5 separate regions of the Mus musculus genome follow, and regions 2, 3, 4 and 5 are each reported to be linked to region 1. Evidence: microRNA targets listed by miRTarBase, many of them from high-throughput screens and not tested one by one. Region 1 holds a microRNA gene; each other region holds the end of a gene's coding sequence.

Region 1 (4,588 bases):
CGATGGAGGTTTATGTGAATGTTCTGAATGTTCTTTCCCCAGCTTGCTGTTGACCAGGTTGGCACCCAACAAGCCCGTATGCTGAGCCTTGGCTTCTAAATAGATCAGGCAGTCTATGTAGGGATGAATGTATTTTAGGATAAACAGGGATGGACATCCAAGCTAGCCCACAAAGGCTACAAAGCGCGGCTGCAGAAAAGGCTGCTGGTCCCGAGAGTCAGAGAGTGATGCTTGCACTCAGCCCCCTACGGGTAGATCTGAGATTCTAAGTCACCTGCGTGAGGCCTGCCCACACCCCAGCAGACAGTGCTGCACCCTGAGCACAGTAAGGATTGAAAAATGGCCTTCCTACCGAATGCCCCATGTCTGCTAGCCATGCCCAGATTGGTCCTGTGCCCCTGAACTGAAGCCCCTAGCCTCCACTGAAGGGGGTGCAATGAAGGTGAGTGAAGGTGATTGCTACTCAACCTGGGCTGGGGCACAGGGCAGCTTGCCATGGGCTTTACCGCCTATCCACTCTCCAGCCCACCTCCCTTACCATCCTCCCCACCCCGATCTCTGCTCACAGCCCAGAAGGTCACTGTGGTCAGGAGCCAACTCTCCAGCAAGGGCAGCGGTGGCACAAGAATGGAGCTCTAGTTCCAGGGGAGAGGCAGGGGGAATCTTCCCTCTGGGAAAAGAGCCAGGCTGCAGTGTAGAGCACCCCCAACAGAGCTCAACGAGGGGCATAGTCCTGTGCCCCCTAGGAACCTTTACACTAGAGGACTGATACCTCTACCAATTCCTTCAGTATTGCTTTGAGTTCACCTTGCAGCTCTTCTGAGGGAGGAAGGGAAAAAGAGACAGCAAGCCCAAGGTCAGAGCTGTGGTATGCTTGGGCCCCTTCTCCACCCTCCAAGAGGCAGAGGTTCTGCAGAGGCTCTGCTTTGGGGACAGGATGCAAAGGCACTAGTGGTCTATGAGTGTGTGACTGTGTGCATCTCTCCATGGAGTACTGAAGCAGTCTCCCTGCAGCATCTCTTTGTGTCTTCACGCGGGCCCTTTTGTCTTGCTTTTCTGCAACTGCACAGGACTTGAGGCTAGGAGAATTTGGGCGGTCAGTTCTGGATCTGGGTCAGAGCCAGGAAAGGGGCTCACACTCACCCCATGAAGATGAAAAGCAAGTCTGCAACTTGTCTGAGGGGGTGGGGGTGCAGAGGTTGTGACCTCCTCCACTGACAGTCAATCCTAGGTCATCAGTTTCCAACCTGTGTATCAGGACTCCTTTGCCAAACTCTATCTCTAAAAATATTTACATTAGGATTCATAACAGTAACAAAATTGCAGTTATGAAGTAGCAACAAAATACGAAGTAGCAACGAAAATAATTTTATGGTTGGGGGGAGGGGTCACCACAACATGAAGAACTCTATTAAAGGGTAGCAGCATTCTGAAGGTTGAGAACCATTGCCCTAGGTAATAGGGCCTGTAACCTTGGGGATCGGAAACCTTGCTGGGAGGAGACATGCCAGAGCAGAGTCTCATACCAGGACGCCAGCAGGTGGCGCTGGCTGCCGAGGACAGGAAAAAAAATGCCTGCAGCAGACCTGAGTGGGTGTCACTGCGGCTGCAGATGGTGGTGGGGGAGGGAGGAGGAGGATTTGTCATTTTCTCTCTGGGCTGCAGAGCCTCACGTGCCTCGCGTCCCGCATAGCTGGAGAGAGGTTTGGGGGCGGGATGCGGTCCAGTGTATCCACCCAGATTTAGACCTTGGATGCAGATGCAGATCCCCCACTTCCACAGCTCGAACCTCAACCTAAGGTTCAGGGGTTTCTTCAGAATCAAAGTGATCACCGCCTTCACCCTGCGACCCCAACTAGAGCGCCCAGGGGACAGACTGCAGTGACCCCAGACCCTACCCCATTTCTCTGGGGTTGCTGCGGCAACTATCCAGGGCCCCCTAGATGGGAACAGTGATACTCATGACATCCCTTCGCCCCAAGCGCATTAGCGCCCCGTCTCTCTGGGTGACTCCACGGCCAGCACCGAGGACAGCGCCCAGGACTGCCCGTGGGTAGCGGGACGCGCCAACACAACCCGGGAAGCTGCACACTTCCCTCCCGCGCCCCTCAGCCCGCCGCTTCCCCAGCCCCTCCCTTTGTCTTCTGGCCCTCGTCTCCCTCTTCGGGATCTCGAGCACTCAGAGCTGCGGACACACGTGGTCAGGGGCCGGGTGGCCACATTCTCCCCCGCGGTCGCCCCCACCCTTCTCGTGACGTCCTAGGCATGCGGGCCCCTTTGTGTCCCGCGGCCAGATCCCCGGCCCAGCAGCTGGGCCGCCCTCTGGGCGGGCGCATTGTTCGCCGGATTTGTCCGCGGAGCGAGGGGCCACCGGGGGCCGGGGCTCGCCTTTTTCCCGCGGGAGGGGCGCCGCGACGGCCGGGCTCCCGGGCCATTTCCATGAGAAAGGAGCGGCGGAGGCGCCTCTCTTGGCATTCACCGCGTGCCTTAATTGTATAGACATTAAATCAAGGTCCGCTGTGAACACGCAGAGGGGCCCTCAGGGCTGCGGCGGGCGGCGAGCGGCTGGACCGGGTCGGGGCCGGGCTGCGGCTTGCGTGGGGTCCTAGCCTGAGGGGCGCGAATGCTCCAGCTTCTTCGCCGCGGGGCGGGCGGGCGGGGCGGGGCTCCGCGCTAAGCTGGCAGTGCTGCCCTGGTCCGCCCCCAACTCCGAGGAGCCAGTTTTCCTTCCCCTCCCCGAGGTAGAGAAGGGCCCGGGCAAATCCCTCGGGGCGTTCCTGCAGTAGGGACCCCTCGGAGCCGCGGCGAGGGAGATGCAGGAGCCGGCCGGGGTGAGCGCGCGTGCTCCGGCCTGCTGCAGTCTTCTGACGGGTGCAGAGCCCTCTCCACCCCGGCGGCGCAAGCCTCTCCGCAGCTGCCCTTCCCCGGCTCCTCTTCCCGGCCCCACCAGGAGTGCGTGAGTGCGGTGAAAATAAAGAACCTCGATGTTCGGAGATGAAAAGCAGTCTCTTTCTACAACCCGCCGAGCTCTCTTCTCTTACGCCTCTGGCTGGCGAGAAGCTGCTCGAGGAGAGAAAGACGGGGTGACCTGAGAGACCGGCTCGCCCCGGCACGGGCCGCCAGCGCAGTTACCCGTCCGGGCGCGAGCCGCCGCCGCCTGCTGCTTCTCGGTTGCCGCCTCCGCTCCGCAGCACAGCCTGCGCTGTCGCCCGATCCCGCCTCCGCCTCCTTCTTGGCGCCCGCAGGACCCGCACGCTACGGCCCCGGGTGGAGGAGAGCGCAGGGACAGTGCCAAGGAAGCCGGGCAAATTCCTGAGGGCCGGGTGGGAGCCCGGCGTCCGCGAGGTCGGCACTGCGGGAGTCTGACTCCCACTCTCCTTGCCTAGACCGGGTGCGACCGTCCCCGCGCTCGCCGCCGCCGCCGCTGCCTCCGCTCGTATCCGCGCTCGGCTCCGGCACCGGGCGATTATCACTGGGGCGCGCGGTGACGTCACCCGACACCGGCTCTGCCGCCTCCTCTCGGAGGTGTCCTTGAGAACTGAGGGGCACGCGCACCGCGTACACGCGCACTCACGCACCGCGCGACCCGTGCCTCCCGCGCACACGCTCGGCGTCCCGCTCCGCGCGCTCCTCGACTCACACGGATGCAGCCCTCGAACGCCTTCGATTGTGCCCGGCGCCCCGGGGTCACACGTATGCAGAGAAACTGCCTCTTGGACACTCTCGAACCGCTCATTCTGTCCTACTGCACGACCCACGCAAAAGCTTCTCCCGCAGCCCACCGACCGCAGCTCCTCTACACCCACCACCAGCCACACCCCGCTGTGCAGCGAACACACTGTGCTTGCCTCACACAAGCGGCTGGTCCTTCCGGAATAACCACTCTACACAGTGGCTTCTGAGCCTCTCTCTCCTGGGGGGGGGAAAGAAAGGGGTCCTAGCCTCCTGCTGGCGGCCCTATGTGGAGAAGGGAGTTAGACATCTCCCCCAACCCCCATCAGAGACTGCTCCCCTTTTTCACCCTTTTTCTAGCTGGGTAGCGAGTCCTTGCTTACGAGGATGGGAGAAACACAGTCCATACTTCACAGTTGACTGCAATTGAATCTACTCTTTGCAGTCTATTGAAGGGTGACTACCTTGATCTGGGTCTTTAGGGCTAGAGATCAGCGGCTTTCCAAAAATAAAAAACAAAAAAAAAAAAAAAAAAAAACCCACGCCACTCTAGGCCTTCCCAGCGGGCCTTTGTTCCTGCAGACTGGAAGAACCACACAGAAGTAGGCAGGCCTCTGTCCTATCCTTTCTCCCTGGGCCAACCCAGCCCTTGACCACCTGCCCTCTAACAGAAGCTAAATGACCCAGGCATAAATTCTTCCCCCTCCCTTTCCAACCTTCTCCAGCCCCGTGGGAACCCCCGAAGACACTCAGCTGGGAAGGAGGTAATCTCCGGAGATCTCATCCCACTGCCCGAAGGTCCTCAGAGGGTCAGGATACTTCTCTCCCAACCCCAAATCCTTCCCTTTGCAGGTGCCAGTCTCAACCGACGCTAGAGAATCCCCTCTTACACAGACAGCTAAGCCCACCTTTGCTT
Region 2 (3,647 bases), not on the chromosome of region 1:
AGTAGTGACTGGGCCTCTAATCTTTCCTCCACTTCTCAGCCTCTAAAAGAGGTGTACAGGTGGTTCTGTCTGCCAGGTAGAAGTAGATAGGGGAGTCAACACTGGGAAAATCTCAAGAGACCCCATGGCTATCAAGGAGACTGGCCCCTTGTTACTTCCATCCTTGTAGCTCCAAGAAAGTATGAACTTAATTTAGCAAAGTTGAGAAGAACAAGTCAAGAAGAGAGGATTGATCAAGGTCTCAGAACGCAAGATTATATATCTTAGGCCTTTTCCTTGAATCCTAGTCATTATCTGGAGACTCTCTGAGGTTCCCAGAGAGCTACTGCTAAGGCACTACAGCATGCATTAACCTCAGTTGGGCACAGGCCTGTGACATGTGGGCACCAGATGGAATTGAGGGTACCTTCTTAGTTGTATCTGCCGATCTTGTAGGAATACATCCTAGAATGTCATGTTACCTTTGCCTCCAAACATTCCTGGGGCACTGCTGGGTTTGAACTTCCAATCATACTCCTTCATTCACTCTCCCTCCCCAGCATGTTTCTCAAGGGAGTGCATAGTTCATAAGTCCCATATCCCCTTTATCCTTACCTTTTACTCCCAAGGCTCCTGTGGCCAAAGACCCATGGTTCCCCCACTGCTGAGTAAGCAGCTTGTAAGGCACTCAACTTTTATTTGGTGTGTCGTTTTCTCTAGCCCTACGAGATGTGTCCCCACACAACATGCTGTGCAGTCTAGTTGAGGGAGAAGTCAAGTTTGGCTTTTCCTGCCCTGCTCATGTCCAGTGTGAGCAAACAGTACTACCCCTTTACTCTCAGTACTACTACAGAGAATAAGGCTGAGGAAGAGATTGACTGCAACAGGGTGCCCAGCCCAGGCTATGCCTGGTGAATGGCGTTTCCTGGATGACTACACAGTTCAGTTCTTCAGACAGCAATCCTGGGAAAACAGAGTACAGACCACATACCCAGTGCTATGCCCAAGGTGCAGGGAAGGAAGCTTTCAGGGGACCTTCCTTTTCCTCCAGTGTGGCCTAGATCACACTGATTTTCCGTTTGTAAGCTGGGCAGTATCCCAGCAGAACAGAACTCGGCAAAGCCTTCTGAGCACTCCGCTGTAGTCACACTCCAAGAGCTGTCTCTAGAAACATGAGGAAGTGAATAGAAAACTTGGTCACAGACATTGCAGAGTTGAACCTGCCCAGGCCAAGGTCCAGGAAGGTTATAATAGACTGGAGCCTATCAAGGGAATGAAGGCAAGAGAGGAGGAGCCATTCCTTCTGAAAGCCACAAAGTCTTACCAGGCCATTACCAGGCCAAATGAGAGAGAGCTTCCTTTCCTCCCAGCCCCCAGCTGCAGGATGGATGTAAGTCATGTCAAGTTCAAAGCCCCGCTCTACAACTCCCACTTCTAAGTCTAGTGGGGGCCTGGGACATGTAAGGGCTGGAGGTGTAGTTTAGTTGATAGGAAGCCTTGGGCTTAATCCTAAAACCATGTTACCTGGGACTGACGGGCAGTGCACACTTGCAATCCCAGCATTTGAGAAGTGGAGGCAGAAAGACCTGAAGTTCAGTGTCATCATTGGCAATATGAGTATCAAAGACAGCCCAGCTGTCTTGCCTAGCATGCGTGTGTGAAACTATAGACTCAGTCCCCACTACCAAAAGGAGGATCATGTTTTCCATCCTCAGAAACAGTGTGAGGTGTGCTCTTCCCTTCTACTCCCTACTGCCCACAGAGCATCCATACGTCATCAGACATCGCTAGAATCCTAGTTTATCATGTCAGCAGAAGACTACTTTCCTGGGGAAATGTAACACTCCTTTTTCCATCTGTCCCCTGAAATGGCTTACATATAACAGATTACTTTTTTCCCAAGACAACTAAAACGACTTCTATAGCATGTATATAAAGTCTGTGTGGGTTTGTGGCACCCAGATGAGGACAACTTTTAGAAGTTGATTCTTACCTTCCACCAGAATCCCAGGGATCAAACTCAAGGATTTTTACCCAACTGAGCCCATCTTGCTGCCCCTCCCCCCAGATAACCTCTTTTTAAATCAAAATTATGGTTATCATGTGCCTCCCCAGAGCACCCTAATGAATCTTGTCCCCCTCCCTTAAGAAAGAGAAGGGCCGGGCATGGTGGCGCACGCCTTTGATCCCAGCACTTGGGAGGCAGAGAGGCAGGCGGATTTCTGAGTTCTAGGCCAGCCTGGTCTACAGAGTGAGTTCCAGGATAGCCAGGGCTATACAGAGAAACCCTGTCTTGAAAAAAAAAAAAAAGAAAGAAAGAGAAAGAAAGAAAGAAAGAAAGAAAGAAAGAAAGAAAGAAAGAAAGAAAGAAAGAGAAAGAAAGAAAAAAGAATGGGGGTGGAGAGATGGCTCAGCGATTAAAAAACACTGACTGCTCTTCCAGAGGCCCTGAGTTCAATTCCCAGCAACCGCATGGTGCTCAAAACCATCTATAATGGGATCGGATGTCCTCTTCTGGTGTGTCTGAAGACAGATACAGTGTACTCATCATATAAATAAAGACATTTAAAAATTCATTTATTTATTATCTGTAAGTACACTCTAGCTGTCTTCAGACACTCCAGAAGAGGGTGTCAGATCTTGTTATGGATGTTTGTGAGCTGTGGTTGCTGGGGTTTGAACTCAGGACCTTCAGAAGAGCTGTCAGTGCTCTTAACTGCTGAGCCATCTCACCAGCCACGGAATACATTTTTGTTTGTATGTTTGTTTAAGAAAAGAATGTAGTCATGGCTAGGGCACAGTGGTGTGTGCTTGCAGTCTCAACAAGTCGGTGGTGGTGGACAACCCCTTGAGCCTAGGATTCGAAGGCTAGTCTGAGCAATGTGGTAAGATACTATCCATCTCAAAAAGAAAACACGTGCCATGGTACGCATATTACTCCCCCAACACAAACAAGTGTATGTAATATTTTTCTAAAAAAGGATTTAAAACATATAAGCATGTGCAGAATTGGAATGTAAAGATGTTTTTGTATGTCTTGGTCTGAGCCTCTAAGGAGTTCTCTGTGCCCACTCTTATTTCTCTGAAGGATACCTGGACACTTTATAAACCAGCCAAATCTGAAAGACATTATTTTATTAACACACCAGCCTCTTCCCATTGCTCTTAAACAAGTGGTTGTAACTACAACACGAACTGGCACCAAATAATCGCTCAGCTGTCCTTACGTCCAGATGTCACAGACTGGGCCTCCCTGCAGCCAGGTAAGGCTGCCCAAGGTCGGCCTACTACTCACTACTCAGCCTAGAGGACCTGGAAACAGGATTTAGTGGCTTTTCACTCTAGGAAGTCAGACCCTGCTCCAAGGCCTGACTGAACTGGAACTTTAGCCTTGGCCTTCCTCCATAGTTTTAGGCAGTTTGTAGCTGGCCTTCGGTGTCTGAGTGAGGAAGGCTCCAGGAAAGGTTCCAGAGTTGCCTCACAAGGGGACCCCTTCCCCAGGCCTTTTGGAATCCAGGTCATCAATGGCGCAGAGCTGCACACCATTTTGGGCCAGCCAAGCCCGCAAAGTGGGTGCTGTGAGAACGTGCAGCTCATGCAGCCGCTCCCAAGAACAAGAGAACGCATCTGGGCCCTCACCGCAGCCCCCTGCTGGAGGCACACTGGGG
Region 3 (3,647 bases), not on the chromosome of region 1:
CATTAGGAATTAATGTCTGCCCTCTGCCTCCTCAGTTTCCCTGTACCCACTACTTTCTTCTTAAAGGCATGGGGATCCACAGAATCCACAGATGCACACAGGACTAAATGCAAAGCCACAGTATCGTCCTGGACTGGGACCTGGCAAAGCCACTGTGGTCTGTGTTACCTCCCAGGGGCTAATTTATCTGAGATCTGAAACTTCCAAATTCCCAAGGCCTGTGGAAAACATTTCCCTTGAGCAAGAAGCTAATTTATTTGCCAGGAGAAGTGAATGGCTGCCTTTGCTTTCCTGACTCTCCCATAGACACCAGGAAACAACATTAAGGGAATCTGCAGTTAGAGGCCAGACAGAGGCTCCACTTGTATAAGCCTAAAATCAGACAAGGGTAACAGGAAATAAATTCTGCAACCTGTGGTAATGGGCTCAGGGGCTTTGTAAGGTAAGGAGCAACATCTACTTAAATTAATTCCCTATTGAAAAATAATAAACTGGGCTTGGTAGTGTATACCTGTACTCCCAGCACTTGGAGGTAGAAGTACAAGGATTAAGAGTTTAGAGGCCAGCCTGGGCTACACAGCAGATCCAGAGCCAGTATGAAGATGGTAGGACTTGACTTAAAAAAAAAAAAAAAGATAGGAAGGAAGGAAGGAAAGAGAAGAGAAGAGAGGAGAGGAGAGGAAGAGGAAGAGGAAGAGGAAGAGGAAGAGGAAGAGGAAGAGGAAGAGGAAGAGAAGAGAAGAGAAGAGAAGAGAAAAAAGAAAGAAAGACTGTGTCAGTCTGGCTTTAGAAAATCATGGTAAACCTGTACATTTGGAAGTTAGGGACTTCTGTTCTGTCGAGTCACAATAAGACAGCATCATTTAAAGGCCCAGATGAGCACTACTAATTGTGCTAAAAAAACATACTGCAAAAAGCCTTGACCCTTTTCTCTGCCTCTTGTCATTTATTCCATGGTTCCTAGAATTCCTTCCCCGTTATAAAGGAAAATTAGCAATTATATGACATTTCAGAATTGAAGAAGGTTTTATGAGATGCCCCCACCTCCCAAAGATGATCACTGAGAGCTTATTAACTTATACCCCCATCATCTAGAAGGCACACAAAGTAATGAGACCTGTACAAGGAACAGGAATGACCAGTGCCCGGATGATCACTTAGAGCAGCCCTGATCTATAAAGCAGTTGGCCCAAGGTGGACTGAACTTCACACATACACTGCTCATCTCCACCATACCCCTGGGCTGGGAGTGAGGGGAGCCCCACACACCTCCTCTTTGTTGGTGGTTTAGTTTGGTTTTGATTTTTTGGTTGGTTGATTGGTTGGTTGGTTATTCTTTTGGTTTTTCAAGACAGGATTCATTCCCTTGTGCAGCCCTCCCTGGCTGTCCTGGAATTCTGTAGACCAGATCTGCCTGTTCCTGCCTCCGGAGTGCTGGGATCCACACCCAAGGAGTGGGAGCTCTTGCCAACCTTCTTCAAATTCAAGTTACTACCATGTGACAGACACTGCAGTGGGAACAGTGCATGGATTATCTCGCAGCAAACCCAAGAGTTCTATACTGCTTGTTCTGCAGGCTATGGGAAGTGGCAGTTAGTTGGATAATCTATCACAGAACAGAACAGAGACTTGAAGCCTTAGTGGTCTGGTTTTATATCTAGCATTCTTAGCCAGTAGGTCTAGCCTCTGGGGCAGCTCTGCTCCTATGAATTCCCCAAATATACACACCAACCCTGAGCACCTACCAGCACTGTCTATAGTTTTCTGCCATAAAATTTCATCTACCACACCAAGAATATCTGCAAAAAAACAAGTTCAAAATGCCAGACATTCAAAGCATTTCCAGTTGTACTAACAATTGCCTAACTTCCTAAAATCCACCCAACAAAGGTTGTCTGGTGGGTGTCAGCCCTGCAGTCCTGGAGGTGCACTATGCAGAAGTGGGGACCAGGAAGGAAAGTGTTCTGACCAAGAGTCCCAGAGTATAGTCATTCACAAAGAAGTCTAGAAGAACTGGCTAGCATGTTTTCAAGCAATGATCTGAAACAGACTGCTCATAATCTCAGACAATGTTGCCCCATAAATCTCATATTCATTTATAAGAAGTGCTTCCAACTGGCATTCCATGTGCCATTCCAAATAATCCAAGGTGCACAATGGCCCCCAAAGAACAATTCTTTTAGATAAAGGTCTCAAGGCAGCTTGCAAACACCACTGCACTTGTTCTATGTGACACCTTAGAGTCACACACAGCATTGAAATAAGATGAAAAGGAAGGATCTCACTGTACAGAACACAAAACAATACCCTTTTTATTTTTTAAAACTCTGGTGAAATAGGTTTCCATATGATATCCCATTAAAAAAAATAATAATGTAAACCAACCTGTGGGTTGGTCACGTGGTACAGGCGTCAAGAGTGTTACAGATACTTAGAATATTTACAAATGCTATTCTCTAGGTAGTAAAGGTTTGTTGCAATTTCCAGCACTTTTTCCTCAGTAAAAGAACGGGGACTGTGTTGGTGTTCTTGTATAAAAATTCATAAATGGAGAAAAGGCAATTTCCTGAGAGAAGATTTGTTCTTGAAATCTTTTTTTTTTTCTTTTAAACAATTGGGAACACAGAAGTGGGCTGTGAGTGTAAGAAGCATATGTCTAAAGTTAACTTTTTTTTAAATTATTTTAAGTACCATTAAGTTAAAATGTTTACATTCATTATAAAAATGCTGTTAAATCTTATGCAAATGATTTAACACTGATTGCTGCAACGCAAATTGCACTTAAAAAAATTATTGTGTACATGGAAGAAAAATATCTTGTTTGCTACCCTGTTTACAAATTCCAAGTGACCTCAGATCAGCCACGTTACGATGAACGTTGAGATAAGTCAGTCAGTGTCTGTCATGATGCAATCTTGCAAATTAATATTCTTGTTGAGACCCCAGGAATGCACTCCGCCTCCAGGATAGACCAAATGGCTCCCAGTGCTCCTCTCCACGAACGCTTGTGAAATGTGCACGGTGGTCGGGGATGAATGGGTTCTGGGATAACCGAGGTTGATCACAAGAAGCACATGATTTGGAGCAATACACAAACATTTTCTCTTAAATCTCTCAATCTTCCTTAGCAGACAAGGCCCCGGTCATTGTCACAGTTTCTCCCACTGGTATGGGGCAGAGTCAGAGGCAGGAAGCAGCCCAGGCTGGCAGGAGCAGGCCACATGCCCACGGTGCTGGCCCTTCCTGCAAAAGCCCATCTCTTCTTACTTCAGTAAGCTTCTTGAGAAATATATCTCTTTCAAAACAAAGGCACAGAAATCACGCATCGAAGGAATGTTATGTCTGCATTTTTGCTGCCATCTGGACTGCTGGACAATATCAGACACAAGTGGTATGAGGCCTTCAGAGCCCTCCTTGCCTCTTGGTAGCACCAGCTCAGGCCAGGGCCAGAGCACACCAAGAATCCTGTCGCACGGAGGATGTGACTTCGGCAGGGGAGGACAGACTGACACCTATGTAGAGGCCGTCTTGACCTGAATACTTGAGGTCACTGTTCTCGGGGTTGGCGTTTTCTCCCACTGCAGACATCACTGATGCCCCTACCTGATGGAAGAAGAGAACAGAGGGGGAGAGATGGTTATACATCA
Region 4 (3,647 bases), not on the chromosome of region 1:
AAAGTAGTCAGGGCTAGAGCACACATGCAGCAAAACACTATATAAAATGTAAAAGTTGAAGACAGAGGAGGAAGGCAGAGGAGAGCTCGAGGAGAAAGTAGGAAAGCCACCATGCCTACAACAAACCTTCTGGAGTCCCATTATGTCCCAGTGCAGGATACTGCAAACAATATGCATTCAACTCAAGATTTAATGAGAGGAGATCTGGGGCTGTGGCTCCCTCAGAGAGGGTGGGACAGAGAGTGTGACAGACGGCATGCTCAGCAATCCCCAGCACCAGAAAACAGAGGAAAATGGAATAACTCAAGGATGGTTTTTACAGTGCGCTAGGAGAGCACCAGGCTGAGGTGGCAACTGTCAGAGCAGACTGTTCCTGTGGTCACTTTCTTTCCCTGGCCTGGGCTGGCAGAAAAGCTGCTCTGAAGACATTCTATTCTAGGCAGATGATAAAGTTGGCTGGAGACTGCAGATAGCTCTGTGGGAATCTTCTATGAACAGTGATGCACTGACAGACTTCCTTACCCTCTGGACTTTCGAGACAGGGTTTCTCTGTGTAGCCCGGGCTGCCTTGGAACTCACTCGGTAGACCAGGCTGGCCTTGAACTCAGAAATCCGCCTGCCTCTGCCTCCCAAGTGCTGGGATTAAAGGCGTGCGCCACCACTCCCCGGGCCCCTCTGGACTTTTTAAAGAGGTATTTTATTTTTACTTGTGTGTATACATGTGTATCTGTGGGAGGGGCAGAGGTGTTGTGTGCTCACGTGCGTGCAGTGCCCTCACAGTTCAGAAGGGTGCACTGGATCTCTTGGGAATGGAGTTGCAGGAGGTTGTATGTGGTTCAGTCTGGGTGCTAGGATTTGAACTTGGGCCCTCTGTAAGAAGAGGATCCATTCTTAACTCCTGGACCATCTCATTAGCCTTTTTTTTTTTTTTTTAAAAAATAAAGAATCACAAAGGAGGAAAATGACCTTCATTTTTCTTTAATAAACCCACACACTAGGAAGTCCTTTTACTCAGCGTCACTGGTGACAGCTGAACTAGAGTTAAGTGTGGCTCCAGGGCTCTGTGTTGGGTGAGCTAAGGAGCATGGAGTCCTCTCCATGATGTGGAAATAACGAGCTGAGGATGGAGCTGGAACAACCAATCCAGAACCTGTGTGTAAAACAAAGAACTCACTAAGGTAGCCAAGAGAAAACCTGAGAACGGTGACGGGGGAAGGGACTGAGACAGTAACTTAAAAATACCAAGGCCAGCTGGGCAGTGGTGGTGCACACCTTTAATTCCAGCACTCAAGTGGATCTCCATGAGTTCAAGGTCAGCCTGGTCTACAGATCGAGTTCCAGGACAGCCAAGGCTACACAAAGAAACCGGGTCTTGCAAACAAACAAAAATAAACAAAAACAGAACAAAAAGCAACCAACCATTAACCAACCAACCAATCAACCCAAAACAAATAAAAAATAACAAAAGGCCAGAATGAAGAACCCCATTCATCCAAAAAAGGGTATGTGAATGAATGTGTCTCTGTCTGTCTGACTCTTGTTTCTAAACTGTTATTTTAGATAAAATTTCAAACTATTCTTTATTATAATATGCAAAAATAGTCTTATTCAACTACAAGACTAAGCCAGTTAGAAGCACGGGCATTAAAAGAGTGGTTAACAATTAGAAAGCCATATGCATCTAGAGATGAAAGATCTCACTTAGAAACCGTGGTCAGGAAGCAAGCACAGGATTTGCAGGCTGAGCCCTGAAACATCTGAATCATTAAGAGCTGGCGGGAGCTGAGGCAGAGTCAGGGCCATGTCCAGAGACACACACTTGCTGACCTGCCTTCTAAGCGCAGTGAACGAAGTAGGGCATTGAGAGACGAAGAGCTAAGTTAGAAACATGGAAACAGCAGGCCTGGAACCTCCAGGTCAGGAGCAGAGAGAGAAGAAAGAAGGAAAGGAGGTCCTAGGGCGGGCTGGGCAGGCTTGAGGGAAGCCATGGTGCAGAGCTGCTTAGAACCTAAGACCAAATGTTCTTATTCTCCACGTTCCTGGTTTTGTAACTCAAGGGATCTTTGGTGACCCTGACCCAAGCTATGAGCATACACCTTATATTACATCTCGAAGGGTATGTTATTAAAACTATTTACCTTAGGTTAAAGAAACAAAAGCTGAGCCCGCCACAGCTCAGAACTCTCCTTAGCTTCTAGACAAATGACAATCTTTCTCAAGAAGTGCTCAGAGGCTGGAGATATGGCTTAGTTTCTTTAAGAACACTGGCTGCTTTCTTGAGTCTGGCTCCCAGCACCCATATGGTAGTTCACACAAGTTTCAGGGGATCTGATGCCCACGTCTGGCCTCCTCGGGCACTTCAAAAATGTGATGCGAAGACACACATGCAGGCAAACATTCATACATATAAAAGTAAAATAAATATGTACATAAATAAAGTCGTTTCAAAAAGCATGTTAAGAAAATGGCTCAGCTCTGTTCTGAACACTTGACACTAGCTTCCATTTAACAAAGTAACAGAGGGGGCTGGAGAGATGAGATGGTTCAGTGGTTAAGAGCACTGACTGCTCTTCTGAAGGTCCTGAGTTCAAATCCCAGCAAGCACATGGTGGCTCACAACCATCTTCTGGTGTGTCTGAAGACAGCTACAGTGTACTTACATATAATAATAAATAAATCTTAAAAAAAAAACAGAGAAAAGGAATCAGATGACAAGGGACCTGCCACTCAGCCAGTGGGTAAACTTTTGCGCGCTGCCACTGTTTACCACCTGGTCTCAGCATCAAATGAAAGCTTCCGTCTTGAGTTGACTTCCTCTTTGTTTTGGAGTCACTCTGTAGCTTGAGCTGGTCTAGCCCAGGCTGGCTTTGAACTTATCATCCCCCTGTCTCTGAAATCAATGCTGGAATTACGGGCATATACAATTCCCAACCTTCAGCAGCGGATTGTCTCCCTTTCCCCAAAGCATTCTAAGACATTAATTTTCAATAGTTTAGCCATTTCTTCCCATTGTTAGGTGCTGTTAGACTAAGACTACCCGCTTTCTAATCTGCTGGGAGCCTGCAGGGGAGCTTACGGTCTTGAACCACGTGCACAGGTGTATCAGAGGACGAGTGCTGAGGATCTCAGCAGGTGGATGGGGATCCCAGGGATGCAAGAGCTTTCACCCTCTGCACCATCTCTCCTGCACCAAACTTTAAAAGGGTAATAATACACACAAAAAGAATGGTTTGCTCTATTATTTAGAATATATATATATATATAAATAATTTTTTTTAAACCAGTCTACTCTTCGGCTATCTCAGCTGTCTTTAAATGGCCATGAAGTTCTGAGGGCCATAGCAAACATACTAGCTGACTGGCTGTCAATGTTCACAAGAAAGGGCAAGAACATAGTCACCTCAGTGCCTAGGCACTGTGCAGCGCGTCTTCATCCTCAAGGCCAGTGGTACTTCAGATACCAGATGGTTTCATTTTTCAACTGTGGTCCAAACAGAGGATTGAGCTGTGCCAGAATTGCAATCAGCCAACTAAAATTCATGGGGAGGAACAAAAGCAGAGAGTTGTGAAACTGGCTAGAATACAACCATTTTCATATATGATTCAAAAACCTTGTTAGTTCAACTTCAGTGTAGTCCATTCAGACA
Region 5 (3,647 bases), not on the chromosome of region 1:
GCTGCCTACTATGCTTTGGAGGATGGCAAGATGCTCCACTCCAACAAGGACAAGCTGCATCTGTTTGAAAGGACTCGGGAGCTGCCAGGAGCCGTGGCCGCCGCCGCCGCCGCTGCCACCACATTCCCCTTGGCCCCCCAGATTCTCCTTGGCACCATCCCACTTCTGGTCCTCCTGCCTGTGTTGTGGTAGACAGTTGGCCATGTAGGTAGGATACAGAGGAGAGTAACGACTGCCCTGAGCCTTGGGCTCCTGCCCCTGGCTTCTCCTTTTGTCTGAGGGCTCAAGTCAGCCTCAGGATGCAGCCCAGCAGGTGGGCTGGCTCCCTGAGACCCAGTGTTCTCTGCAGACCAACCAACCGTTCAGCAGAGGTGGCCTCCGCAGCTGACGGCCTGAGCATGGTGCCCTCAGAGCCGTCTGCAGATGTTTTGGCCGGGGTGAAGGGCGCGTGGGACAGCTCTCCCCTCTTGATTTGTGCACGCAACAAGGTTGTGGTGATTGATGCTGTGTTTTTGTGACAGTAGAGTTGTGTGAGGGAGAGAGCAGCTCCCTCTACCCTGACCCCCATCGTGTGAATGTGCGAACCAGAGCCCCCTAAGCTGAAGTCCACCCCCCCCCCGCCCCCATCACCAGAGAGACACTGGGAAAGTCGGCTCCTTCCACACCCTCACAATGCACTGAGACAGGCCCGGCTGACTGCTGCACACCTACTCTGGGGCCCCTGTGCCCTCCCACACACTCTCGCGCACACTGTTACACAAGCACACTCGCACACACTAAGCCCATGGGGACACCCCCAAGACCCCACATCAGGAAGGCAGAAGCATTTCCAAGATTCTATCCCCAGGCAGGTACTCCTTAGCAGTGTGACTAAGGGCATACCAGAGAGCCCTGCTCAGCATCTTTAGCAAATGGATGTAACCTTGTAGCCAGGAGGCTGTGCCCTCCTGGTCCCTTCCTACCCAGTGCTACGCAGGGACTGTCCCGTGCATCCAGCTACTGTGGATGTGTCTGAGGTGCTGCATCCAGGCACCTGCCTGCAAAGCCCCACAGTTGAAGGGAGGGTGTGTTTTGGCCTGAGGTCTAAGCGGTACCATTCATGGGCTCAGATCCCCAACTCTGGCTCCACCCTCTGCCCCTCTCCCATTGCACTTAAGAAATCGAAGTGCTGTCATTCTGAATGTTTCAACAGAGACGTGATCCTCCGGTTCCTGCCATCGCCACCCCTACCCCCACCCCTCACCCCTGCCCCCGCCAGCAGACATAAGAGTCCCCACCAGAGAGGGGCTGGGGTCTCAGGGCATGAGCAGCAGATCCAGTGGATAGGGCCAGCTGGCCTGCCCTGTCCTCTGCCCTTTCACTTGTCTCCTAGACTTCCCCTGCTGCTGGTCAGCAGCTACACCCCCCAGCCCTCTTGTCTGCATTTCTTTGTGGGAACTGAGGGGAGCACCTTCTAAGAGGCCTTCCTGCACCATGACCCTGCCTGGCGGGTTCTCCTCCCACTAGAACCTTCTTTCAACTCTCTGGCCACAGCCAGAGAGAGGCCTGTCACTGGGAACCTAGCTTTCTTTCCTTCAGCTCAAGGCCAGAGTCCATCCACAGAGCCCAGAGCCATTCCCATCTCTTCTGCTGTTCCAGAGGCCCCCCAAGGAACCAGCATGGCGGTACCGCCAGCCCCCCTGGGCCACCCAGCCAGCGGCCCTGCAGAGCCTACCCCAGCCCCACCCCCCAGGGACCTCTCATACACTGGCCGGGAGGCTGCAGAACCTGCCTCTCCCTCCCAGAGGTCCAAACCCCTGCCAAAACCACGTGGGTAGCTGGGAGGGGTCAGCTCCGCTGCCCCCTGCTGGTTTTTCAGCTATCCCTATGTTGGAAGTAAAAGAGTTGAAGCACTTTATTTTGGTTGTGTTTGATCACGTTCTGCTTGGAAGTGGGGACCCCTCACTGAGTCCACCTGTGTGCGACCTGTGTGGAGAGCCACTGCGTGTACATACTGTAAATTATTTATTAACGGCTAAATGCAAGTAAAGTTGGTTTTGTTTTGTTATTTTTCTTTTAGATGAGCTGTTGGAGTTTATTTTCGAAACAGACTTTGGTCCTTGCGGGGTGGAGAGGTGAGGTGGGTGGGTGGATGTGTCCCCACTACAAAGTGTGTCAAGACGGGGCTGTGTGGGCCCAAGTTGTGTGAGCTGTGAGATGCAGCTGTTTAACCACCATGGCCTTCGGGGACTGAGATTACCTCTCTTCCTTCCTATGCCTGAGCCGTTAGAAGGACTTGGTTGGTCCGTTTCCCCTTGCTCTGGGCACGTCAGGGCAGACCGATGTTATACGATGAAAGGCTGAGAGCTGTTGTCTAGAACAGAGTCTGGAATGGAGGAGGGTCTGCGGTCCATAATGGCTTCATCCAAGCCAGCATGACCGAGAAGCCCCAGCCACAACTCGACCCCTTCAACATCCCTTAGCACCCAGCCTAGGGGCCCAGTGATGTGCTCTGATAGCACCACTGTCCAGACGTGTGCAAAGCCAGGCTCCCTGCTGACTACGGGCACATGTTGTCGCCGTGATTCAGTGTCACGGGACCCAAACCATTTAACAGATTGAAGATCTGTGTGAGATGTGCCCCCCTGTACCATGCCCTCCCTGTCAAGGGCAGAGCCAAGGCATACACCTAGGTCAATTTTGCTTGTGATACTCTGTTCAAGTCAAGTTTAAGTCCCAGATAAGTAAGCTTGGTCAAGTCACTTAACCCTCTGAGGCTCCCAACAGCTCCCAGCAATGTCTTCATCTGCTCCCCAGAGGAGAGGAACCCGCAAGACTGGGGAGGAGACGAAAGGCCAGTAAGAGGAGAAATCCAGAGAGCATTTATGCCCACCGGACACACAACCTCAGCACCAGATGTGAGGAGAGAGAGAATGTTCAAGAGCCTTGCTTGAAACAAAGAAACAAGCAAAACCACAGGCTCTTAAACAAAGACCCTGAAGGGTTGATCTAGGAGGAAAGAGCTAAATGCACCCACTCTCCTGCATTGTCAGTCACCAAAGGCCTGGCCCCCCCAGTGGTCAGTGGGATTGTTAAAGAAAACAATCCCAGGGGAACAGCATAGCAATGGCGGGGCCATTGGCCCGAGCCACACGCTGGACAGACTGTGGAAAAGCCAGGCCCAGGCAAAAAGTCCTTCACTCTCCATCAGATGAAAGTGCCATGTGACACTTGCCAAAAAAATATGTGGGGCTTGGAATTTTTTTCAGGCTCCTAAATTTAACCCACAAGAATTCTTTCCTAAATACCACACCGCTCACTGCCCTCCAGAACAGGGGAATTTGCATCTCAAATGTCCGGGGCCAGCACCTTAAGTCTGAGTGCTCCAGTCTTCCTTGTGCATGACAGTTGCTCTGAGTTAAGTCTGAGTGCTCCCATCTTCCTTGTGCATGACAGTTGGTCTGAGTTAAGTCTGAGTGCTCCCATCTTCCTTGTGCATGACAGTTGGTCTGAGTTAAGTCTGAGTGCTCCCGTCTTCCTTGTGCATGACAGTTGCTCTGAGTTAAGTCTGAGTGCTCCCATCTTCCTTGTGCATGACAGTTGCTCTGGTGCAGACCTGGGCCGAGGCCAGTCAGCCTGGCAACCGAAGAGCTTTCGCATAGCCTGTG

Evidence for each region. The annotated mature microRNA mmu-miR-124-3p reads UAAGGCACGCGGUGAAUGCC and lies in region 1 at 2,471-2,490, opposite strand. An mRNA with a match to its seed (bases 2 to 7 or 8) in the 3' UTR can be bound and repressed. Matches are read on the target gene's strand: a 7mer-m8 pairs with bases 2 to 8, a 7mer-A1 pairs with bases 2 to 7 and ends in A, and an 8mer does both.
Region 2: the mRNA of Ydjc is a reported target of mmu-miR-124-3p. The part of its 3' UTR that is shown has no 7-base or 8-base seed match.
Region 3: miRTarBase lists Gata6 as a target of mmu-miR-124-3p. Seed matches in the 3' UTR shown: 7mer-m8 at 3,307-3,313.
Region 4: miRTarBase lists Atp6v0e as a target of mmu-miR-124-3p. The part of its 3' UTR that is shown has no 7-base or 8-base seed match.
Region 5: miRTarBase lists Rgma as a target of mmu-miR-124-3p. The part of its 3' UTR that is shown has no 7-base or 8-base seed match.

Annotation. Positions count from the first base shown.
Region 1 is chr2:180,891,985-180,896,572 of GRCm38, reverse strand. Mir124a-3 (microRNA 124a-3) reads right to left here and starts at 2,533; the gene lies at 2,466-2,533.
Region 2 is chr16:17,148,297-17,151,943 of GRCm38, reverse strand. Ydjc (YdjC homolog (bacterial)) reads right to left here. Exons shown (of 5, transcript NM_026940.4): 5 at 3,087-3,647. The coding sequence ends at 3,458. Among named protein-coding and RNA genes, the nearest start is that of Ydjc, 3.2 kb to the right of the region's middle.
Region 3 is chr18:11,084,271-11,087,917 of GRCm38, reverse strand. It overlaps Gata6 (GATA binding protein 6), which reads right to left. Exons shown (of 7, transcript NM_010258.3): 7 at 2,283-3,603. The coding sequence ends at 3,436. Among named protein-coding and RNA genes, the nearest start is that of Gata6os, 34 kb to the right of the region's middle.
Region 4 is chr17:26,695,238-26,698,884 of GRCm38, reverse strand. It overlaps Atp6v0e (ATPase, H+ transporting, lysosomal V0 subunit E), which reads right to left. Exons shown (of 4, transcript NM_025272.2): 3 at 3,401-3,530. The coding sequence ends at 3,437. Among named protein-coding and RNA genes, the nearest start is that of Crebrf, 19 kb to the left of the region's middle.
Region 5 is chr7:73,417,842-73,421,488 of GRCm38, forward strand. It overlaps Rgma (repulsive guidance molecule family member A), which reads left to right. Exons shown (of 4, transcript NM_177740.5): 4 at 1-2,058. The coding sequence ends at 192. Among named protein-coding and RNA genes, the nearest start is that of A730056A06Rik, 44 kb to the left of the region's middle.